Caenorhabditis elegans: one gene and its partner. The protein of the gene in region 1 purifies or fractionates together with the protein of each later gene. This does not show direct contact. Each region holds a gene or a part of one and is shown in the gene's direction. Other genes may lie near its edges.

Region 1 (4,909 bases):
TTGGGAATTTGCTTCAGTACCCTTCTTCAAAGAAACTTTTGAGAAGAAAATCGTCCCTTTCCAAGAAATGTGTCTAAACAGCTTTGTTGAGCCGTTCCAAGGGATATGTTAGAATAGCGATAGTGTTGAGATTTGAAGTATACTAATTTTTCGAAAAGTTTGAAAGCATATAATTTTTTTATTTTTTTTTTGTTGGCAGAAAATTTGAAACAAAAAAAAATAATCGAAGTACCAATTAATCCGAAAGTCTAGCGTAAAGTTTCCGAAAAGGAAAAAAACATTTCTAATCCTAAAAAGTAAGCATATCACCTTAGAAAATGATAAATGTATGTATGTTCAATGTTTTAATAGGGTTATAACGCCCACGTACCAAAAAAATATATTAAAGCCAAATATTATATAATTTTACCTTTTTGAAAATCTTAACACTCTGTATTACAACCCTAAAATGACGGTGTCTTAGGAATTCTGAAAATTTTTTATCCAAATGAAAATTTTCAAAAAATGTGGTTACAAATACCTATATTTCTTAAAGTCTATGGCTTTCTTTTTGTGTCAGATTTATAAATTTGTAGATACACTTATCTTCTCAATTACACAGATAACACGTTCTTGTATGTCTTACTCAGCATTTGGTGGCAACTTCTTGCTTACGTCTAGCCCAAAAATGCTACTTGAATTCAGAAGTTGGTAAAGCTTATGTTTTGCAAAATTGCAGCGCCCGACAATTTTTGAGTTTCGCGCCGTTCAAAAAACTTGGGTTGCATAGCGCCAAAATGAAAGCCCTATTCTTGTATTTTAATGCTTGGCTAACCCATTACAAAGGTTGGATCAAATTTGGACTAAACTAAGGCCCGAACTAAGCCGGTCAACTTCTGACTATAATACTTTCCGGCCACCTAGGAGCGCAAAATTGCTAACAAATTTCTTATTGATTCACAAGTATTTTAATTTCCAATGAAACCCCCAATTTTCACCATTATTATTACTCTGGCATAGTCTCTTGTTGGCTAAACTCATATTTTTTTCTTCTTAAGCCGCCGCCCAGGTGTGATACAGTTTCCTTTTGTTTGTCACTTTTACCTGCCTCTCCAGCTCACCACACCTTTCAACCGAACAGCTTAACTGTTCTTTGCACTTTGTGCAATCCAGAACTGACAATTGAGGTGTACGTATGTAGTAAGATACAAGATATCCCAGTACAGACCTCCCACTTCAATCCCGACACAGCGTTTACCACTGTGACGTTCTCTCTTTCTCTCCGCTCTCCCCTCATTCTGACGTTGTGTTGTTTGCCAGTAGGTCGCGGCACTCATAAAAAAGCTGTTGGAACTCTCGGCGACCTTCTTTTCTTCTGCTCGGCTCCCGGGGGCTCCCATGTGAGGCGCGCCCCGCGTACCATATGATAACGCACTTTGACCACTCACCGCGCCGCTAATGGCCCTTACTTATGCAGGCAGCCTCTTTTCCTGTGTTTTCACACATTTTTCGTTTTGTGACTCCTCTTTTTTCATCTTCTGTTTCTCCTTTCCGCAGTCTCCCTGCTGACTTGGCAATTAGCACTTATTTGTTGGAAAATACGTGAAAAGTGCTTGGTTTTTGTTTCAGAGGTGCACTCCTCTCAACCTAGATGCTCATTGAACTCTTCTCACACAGCGCTCCACCTGAGGATCCCTACTATGTACCTGCAAATGGTAAGTCTGATCAGTTGAACTTTTCATGCGTTTTTTTGGGGATGAACCATAGACAATGATGATGTTTTCGTTTGTGTCGGAATCTAGGAATAGATGCTTCTTGCAAGAGAACAAAAGAATTTGAGGAAGGGGGTGAAGAATTCAGTGGGGAAAAATGGGCGGAAAAACTCAAAAAGTTATGCGCATACCTAACGTGTGTGCATATTCAATCACCGTCTTCCTCTAAAATTTTGACGTCTACGTCTCCGTTTCGTCGCCACCCACCAGATTTTTTTTTCGGTATTCAGTGAAAAGGGGAGCATGATCTCAAAAACTCTAAACTCCCAAAAAAAAATCTGAACAACAGGATCTCACATTTCCAATACATATCCACATAGACAGTGGCGGCGCTTAAAGAAAGGGCAAAAACGGTTTTGTTTGTTTGATGGCTTCTCTCGCTAGGCTGAGTAAATCAAAACCGAAAATCTCTAGCCGTCACAGCCAATACCATAAGAAACGTCAAAGGTCGTACGTGTTAAATTTGATCCTCAATGAGTAGACTGTACCAGGGTCATAAAGGTGATTGGTCGGCGCCTATCCAACAAAACAAGAGCAGCACAATTCAATTTTAAATCCGAATGTTTAAATTTAACTTATTAATTTTGTCTTCGGAACATTTTTAGTAAAATTACGTCATTTAAAAACATTCGAAACCAATTTTACTTTAAAATTTTTATTCTAATATTTTAAGTTTACAAAATAAATAAAAAGCTAAATATAAGCTTTATTTTTAAATTTTTGAGCTGATCCCTACCTTTTCCGTAATTCTATTTCCCATTTTTGAATCAAAGTTTTTGAAACCTTTTCCTTTTCCCGACGGATTTTGTCAAAAAGTCTAGCTCTCAGAATAGCCCGACCTTTTTTTCAAACTGATCCAGCTACAAAAACCAAAAGGAAAAGATTACGAACGGATTAAAAAAAGAGTTGCAAATTCATTAATATGAGTTCAAAAATGGCAACTCATCAAGCGACCGGTTTTTGATGATTAATACTTTCATAAATTGAAACTCAAATGTTTTTGAGTAATTAATTTCTGCTATTATTTTCAAACAACATTCTTCATTTATAATTTATCGCAAATTCGTCTCCCGAAACCCTTAATCATGCATTTTTGTGTTTTTGTTTCTGAAAGAATGACAAAAATTTTCAATAATGCTTTAATAATTTCTGTTGCCAAAAATATTTGTTTGTGGGGGTTGTAATTTTGAAATTCCAGGTGAAAATATTTTGAAAAATCAAGTTCTAGTAGCAAGTTGAACTAGTTTTTTATTCTGAGTTTAACGAACAAATGTCAATTCACGTCAGAGAAGAAATATTTTTGGAACAATATTTTTTTTGGAAATTGTGTAATTTTCACAAAAATTTTGAAAATTTCTGTCCCTGTGTTTCCCTAAAATTGACATAATTTTTGATGAGTTCATTTTATAAAAATTTCTTGATGGTGTAAAAATTATAAAGAACAATAAAATTGTGTTTTAAAGAAAAATTATATTCAAAAAATCTTATTTTTAATTGCTGGGATCTATAAAACTGGGCAAAAAGTGTTGTCTATTTACGTTCAGGAAATCTTGACTAGAACATTTTGCGAAATAGCAAAAACTCAATTCAATAATTTTTTAAAGCTAGTATTTTTTGGAACCATTAACTCGAAATTTGAAAACTGGAACCAAAAAAGTGGGCGGAGTTTCCAAAACGCCAGCAAAAAATCATTGGCAGCTCGTCATACTTTTTTCGCTTTCCTCTCTCTTTTTCTCCCCCCGGCCAGCCTTCTCCTCTCTCCACTGACCTGTGATGTACCTTAACAATTTCAAAACGAACGACACATTCGGAAACATCTAATTTCTCACCCATTTTTTATTATCAGAGAGCAACCAATTGTTGCGTGGGGTAGTGAAAAAGAAACACGTACATACATCTCTTTTCTAGATTAATCTAATCTAGAAAAGGCGAAGGCCGCATCGAAGGCTTCACTTTGATTTACTTTTGTGCGTGCGTCTGCATTTTTTTTTCATTCAATTACAAATTCATCATCATCATCCCAATTCAATCAACCAATTTTTCAACAATTCAACATCTAGAATCATTTGCAACGACGGCGCTCACACCGCACTTCTCCACAACGAGCGTATGGTCGATACGGGTGCAGTTGATCCCGACGATGGGAATCTACCATTTCAACGGTGTCGCCTTGTTTCTGTTGCCGGTGCTTTGTCTGATTGGGTTGATCGGCAACTTTTTGGTGTGTGTGGCAATTGCGACGGATCGAAGGTTACACAATGTCACCAACTACTTTTTATTCTCATTGGCTCTGGCTGATCTTCTGGTTTGTTGTATTGTGATGCCATTGAGTATAGTGGTCGAGGTTCGGCACGGTCAGTGGAATATTTTTGGAATATTTTTTTAATTTAGGGCTAGAAAAGAAAATTCCTATACTTCCTATACTGTTCCTATACTGGAAAATGTACATAGGATTATTGTTTCTACAAAAATTGAAACTGTAATAAAGAAAAGAAAAAACCTCATAAATAATTTTGATCTACCTGTCCCACTGAATTATGGCTTAATTTTGGCTTAAAACTGAATATTTGGTGTCTACACTATATGGCCGACATTTTTTAGGTTACGCGACTTTTTAAATAACCTAAGAAAGACAATTTAAAATGCATTCGGCAGAGGTGAATTGTGTAGGTATAAGGTAGGCGTAGGTAACTTTAAAGCCTAATTTTTTTTGCTGTCATGCAAGTTATAGGGAACAGTGCAATATTTTAGGCTGATAAAAAAAACTTAACCCAAAATGCTTTTTTACTTAATTTTTTACCTTTTTCAATTTGTGAAAACGAATCAGATGATTAATAGGCTATAAACTAAACTATTGTTTGTTTTTTTCAACTTTATTTTTCCCTTCTCCAGGTGTGCAAATACCACCAGCGCTGTATTTTGTCAATTAGCTAATAATTTCGATGAATTTTTTTCAAAAGTATCTAACTATAAGCATCTTTGAGCGCATTTGTTAATAAATAATTAGAGGAACGAATAAAAAATGAGAATAAAAAAATCATGAAATATTGAGTGGGAAGTGTAAAGATTTTTGAACGAATAGAAAAAAAAAGTTAATTATATATGTAAAATTATAAATTTAGTTAATTGAAGATCGAAATAATCTTCACAAAAAAAAA
Region 2 (5,231 bases), on another chromosome or scaffold:
AATTTCTTTGCTCACAATCATTATCAAATGACTTGATATGTTGAATAGCGTCGCCTGTATATTCGATATCCCAGATTTGAAATTTGTTCTTGAATCCGCCTATCAATGAGCTTCCACTTTGTCCGATGCTCATCGCCGCAGTGATATTGTCCTGCAAATATATTGAATTTTTTGTTTAATTTGGTGAAAATACGGGAAATTTTGACTTAAAAATCACTAAAAACGGTTGAAAATCGATTTTGGGTGAGGCTTAGACTACAAACTACAACTTTTTTAGCCTCAACCAGAATTGGTTGAGGCTCAGAAAATTGTAGTTTGTAGTCTAACTTTTATTGATTGTTTTTTATATAAATTTTAAGGGAAATTTTTTTAAAATGTTAAATTCTGAAACTTATCAAATTTGCAGAAAAACGACTATACTACAAACTACAAAATGGTTGAGGCTCAAAAAGTTGTAGTTTGTAGTCTCGAAATGAATTAATAGGCGAAGATTTTAATTTTTCGTGGTTTTTCGAGTTTTTGGCACAAATTTGATTAAAAAGCAGCTTTAATTTGAAAAAAAGTGAAACATTTCTTTTAGAGACTACAAACTACAACTTTTTCAGCCTCACCCAATATTGGTTGAGGCTCAGAAAATTGTAGTTTGTAGTCTGAGCCTCAATCAATGCATTTTTGTTTAAAAAATTAGCAATTTTCAGTTATTTTTAGAGGTTTTTGGCACAAATTTGATTAAAAAACAGATTTTAATTGAAAAAAAAGTGAAAAATTACTTTTAAAGACTACAAACTACAACTATTTTTAGCCTCACCCAATATTGGTTGGGGCTCAGAAAATTGTAGTTTGTAGTCTCTGAGCCTCAACCAATTTTTTTTGGATTTTTATGTAAAAATGTCAATTTTTAAGCATTTTTTTTTCGTTTTTTTTTTTGCAAAAAAAAAAACCAACCCCAGCATCTTTTCCATTATAAGCACCGAGAATACTTCCATTTTCCGTATCAAATAGCTGAATTGGACGCAGTTTTGACGACGAGAACACCCCTTTTCCAGAGTTTTCCCAACAAGAATCCAGCACCAAATTTCCCGTATTATGCTTCCATATCACTTCTGGCTGCAATTTTTAGCGTTATTTTACAGAAATTTTGGAAGAAAAACCGACAGTTTCATCTATTTTATACATTCTTATAAATCTATCCTGTGAAGCCACAAGAGCCCGGTTTCCCTGTTCATTTTGAATGGAAAAGTGCACAAAATTATTATTTTCCGTTGATTTATAGCCGAATTGAGCGTTGTACGAGTTGAAAGTGGCTTTATCGCTGAAAATTTCAGATTTTTTGACTTAAAATTCGAATTTTCAGATACCAAAATGTATTTTTAAGATTTGTGGGGATTTCGGCGATTTCTACAGGTTCTTGAGCTTTTTTCTTGACTTCTTGGTCAATTTCCTGCATTCTCTGGAGTTTTCGCTTCTCTTTTCGATTTAATGGGCGGTTTTCTGGGATTTCTTCGGGAATTTCTTCTGAAGCAGCAGCCTCTGTGGTCGATAGCTCATCGATTTTCGACGCAAGATGGTCACTGCGGAGCTAAAAAGCAAGCGGTTTTTCTTTGGAAAACAAGTGAAATTTAATTACCGAAGACAAAAGCGACGCTATCCCGCATCTTTCAGCGCGGAGAGACGGTTTTTTCTCCTCCAATTCTTGTGAGGACGACGATTCTTCGGTGTTCATCTGGAAAAAATCGATTTTTTTGGCGAAAAGTTCAAGTTTCAGTGATTTTTAATCGAAAAATTGAAAAAAGAAAAAAAACAAAAATTAAATTCCCCCTACTACGGTCTGCAATCGGGTACCTCCACACCAGACCTCACGCGCAATTGCGGACTCGCCCCCTGCGTTGGATTGTAAAATGCAAAAAATCAATAAAATTGCAGTGTTGTCACTGATTTTTCAGCTTTTTCTAGTGGATTTTCGTGATTTTTTGATTAAAAAATTCATTTTTTCACTAATAAGCGTCGTTTATTTCACTTATTCCACTTACTTTCACTGCTGAGCTGTAAAAAAAACTAAAAAACTCCAAAAAAAACGTCAAAAAATGAGGAATTTTTGCAGGGTGAGGCTCCAAGGATGGCGACGGCTGTCGAGCTAGCCATTGAGAAGATCGATGAGTATAAGTCGAAGATTGGAAGGTTTGTAACATTAAAAAACTCAAATTTTTGCGAAATTTCCCCAGTAAATTCTATTTTTTCAGAACTCTCGGCACTCCGATGCGGCTTCGAGACCTAATTCGGCAGGTCAGAGCGGCACGAACGATGGCTGAAGAGCGAGCAGTGGTGGATAGAGAAAGTGCGAATATTCGAGAAAGCTTCCGAGACGATGATTCTCCGTGGAAATGTAGAAATATCGCGAAATTGCTCTATATTCATATGCTCGGCTACCCAGCGCATTTTGGACAGGTTATTGAACCGTTTTTCGCCGGAAATTAAATTATTTGTTATTCAGATGGAGTGCATGAAACTGGTGGCTCACCCCCGATTCACTGACAAACGAATTGGGTATCTTGGAGCTATGCTTCTTCTCGATGAACGATCGGAAGTTCATATGCTCGTCACTAATTCGCTTAAAAAGTTAGCAAAAACCCATGAAAATGAAAAAATCTTGTTTAAAAGCTTTTTTTCTGCGATTTTTCTCATCAAAATTTGATTTTTTGAAGAAAAAGCAATTTTTAAAGGATTTTCAATGCAAAAATGAGATTTTACAGTAAAAAATGCTATAGAAAACAAAAAAATCCGAAGAATTATTATTTTGGTTGAGGCGTAGACTACAAACTACAACTTTTTTAGCCTCAACCAGCAGCTTTGGGGAGGCTGACAAAAGTTGTAGTTTGTAGCCTAAGCCTCAACCAAGATTTTTAACTTGATTTTGCTCATTTTTAGTGATTTTTCATCAATTTTTACTATTTTTCGAGCTAAAATTAGTGAATTTGGTTCTAAAAACTGGAATTTTTGCTTTAAAATTCACGATTTTGCTAGAAATCCAAATATAAAACGATTTCTTCCAACTTTGGTGAGGCTGACAGAAAGTTGTAGTTTGTAGTCTTAGCCTCAACTAATATTTTGCTCATTTTCAATGTTTTTCATCGAATTTTCACTATTTTTCGACGAAATAATAGAGAAATTGGTTGTAAAATCCGGAAATTGAGCAAAAAAGGTGAAAATTTTGCTAAAAATCCAAATTTTAAACGATTTGTTTTCCAATTTGGTGAGGCTGACAGAAGTTGTAGTTTGTAGCCTGAGCCTCAACTAATATTTTGCTCATTTTCAATGTTTTTCATCGAATTTTCACTATTTTTCGATACAATAAAAGCAAAAAATCCCAATTTCCGCGGAAAACTCTATTTTTTAAAACTAAATTCTTCATTTCCAGCGACCTCACCTGTTCCACCCAATTCGTCAGCGGACTAGCTCTCTGCACTCTGGGCTCAATTTGCTCAGCGGAAATGTGTCGAGACCTGGCCAACGAGGTTGAGAAGATCATCAAGCAGAACAATGCGTATTTAAAGAAAAAAGCGGCGCTCTGTGCGTTCCGTATCGTTCGAAAAGTGCCGGAGCTGATGGAAGTCTTCATTCCATGTACCCGATCGCTTCTGGGAGAGAAAAATCACGGAGTTTTGATGGGCGCAACGACTTTGGTCACAGAAATGTGCGAGAAATCTCCGGATGTCTTGAATCATTTTAAGAAATTGGTGCCGAATTTGGTACGGATTCTAAAGAATCTTCTAATGAGTGGATATTCGCCGGAACACGACGTCACCGGCATCTCTGACCCGTTCCTTCAGGTCAAAATTCTGAGATTATTGAGAGTTTTGGGGAAGGATGACGTACGTGTCACTGAAGAGATGAATGATATTCTGGCGCAAGTGGCAACGAATACGGAAACGGCGAAAAATGTCGGAAACGCGATTCTCTATGAGACTGTACTCACGATTATGGAGATTAAGAGCGAGAGTGGCCTGCGCATTTTGGCTGTGAACATTCTTGGACGATTCCTTTTGAATACGGATAAGAATATTCGATATGTGGCGTTGAATACGCTTCTGAAGACTGTTCATGTTGATTATCAGGTTGGATTTTGTGGAAAAAAAAAAAAGGAAAAAATGGCGATTTTGGCTCAAAAATTGAGGTTTTGGCGGTGGGTTGAGGCTGAAAAAGTGTGTAGTTTGTAGTGTGAGAGCCTCAACTAAATTTATTTCATTTTATTTCTGTTGTTAATTTTAATAGAATTTTTTAAAAAATTATTCTGATGAGTTTTCAAAATGAAAATCGCATGTTTTAGTAAAAATTGTCGAGAAAAACAAGTTTTTCAACGAATTTTCGAATTTTGTAGCTTGGTTGAGGCTCACACACTACAAACTACACTTTTTCTAGCCTCAACCAAATTTGGGGAGGCTGTGGAGTTGTAGTTTGTATTGTGAGCCTCACTCAATTTCAGTTCATTTTTTGTTTATTTTAACAGAATTTTGAAAATTCAGTTTTCAACATGAAAATCGCCTAAAACTTGTCCGGAAAACCAAGTTTTTTGACAAATTTGCAGCTTGGTTGAGGCTCACGCACTACAAACTACACTTTTTCTAGCCTCAACCAGATTTGATGAGGCTGTGGAGTTGTAGTTTGTAGTGTGAGCCTCAACCAAATTTATTTTTAGTTTTCTATTCCGTTTTCGACGTGAAACTTAGCTTTTTAGTAAAATTTTGCCTAAAAAATCAGTTTTTCAATAAATTATTCCATTTTGCAGCTCAAACTGTGTAAATAATAATTGGTTGAGGCTTACACTACAAACTACACTTTTTCTAGCCTCAACCAAGTTTTTAGAGGCTGTGGAGTTGTAGTTTGTAGTGGGAGCCTCATTCAATTTCATTTTTTTCCGTTTTGAACGTGAAACTTAGCTTTTTTAGTACAATTTTCCCCCCAAAAAAACCCAGTTTTTCATAAAATTTCATATTTTGCAGGCCAAACTGTCCAAGTGATAATTGGTTGAGGCTCACGCACTGCAAACTACACTTTTTCTAGCCTCAACCAAGTTTGGGGAGGCTGAAGAAATGTGTAGTTTGTAGTGTGAGCCTCAACCAATTTCAGTTCATTTTCTGTTTATTTTATTAAAATTTTTCCGTTTAATACAAAATTTTCAATTTTATGATGAGTTTTCCACATGGAAATCACCTAATTTAATGAAAATTGTCCGG

Evidence for each region.
Region 2: the proteins of ser-1 (region 1) and apg-1 purify together in Caenorhabditis elegans (affinity purification with western blotting, with the first as the bait; one study listed by BioGRID). This does not show direct contact.

Annotation. Positions count from the first base shown.
Region 1 is NC_003284.9:16,578,115-16,583,023, forward strand, and holds the start of ser-1 (G-protein coupled receptors family 1 profile domain-containing protein), read left to right. Parts: upstream 1-1,630; coding exon 1,631-1,694; intron 1,695-3,811; coding exon 3,812-4,105; intron 4,106-4,909.
Region 2 is NC_003279.8:14,403,927-14,409,157, forward strand, and holds the start of apg-1 (AP-1 complex subunit gamma), read left to right. Parts: upstream 1-2,101; 5' UTR 2,102-2,116; coding exon 2,117-2,178; intron 2,179-2,240; coding exon 2,241-2,445; intron 2,446-2,491; coding exon 2,492-2,616; intron 2,617-3,415; coding exon 3,416-4,112; intron 4,113-5,231. Other genes in the region: tcab-1 (WD_REPEATS_REGION domain-containing protein), read right to left, coding at 16-151, 946-1,107, 1,156-1,312, 1,359-1,579, 1,628-1,723.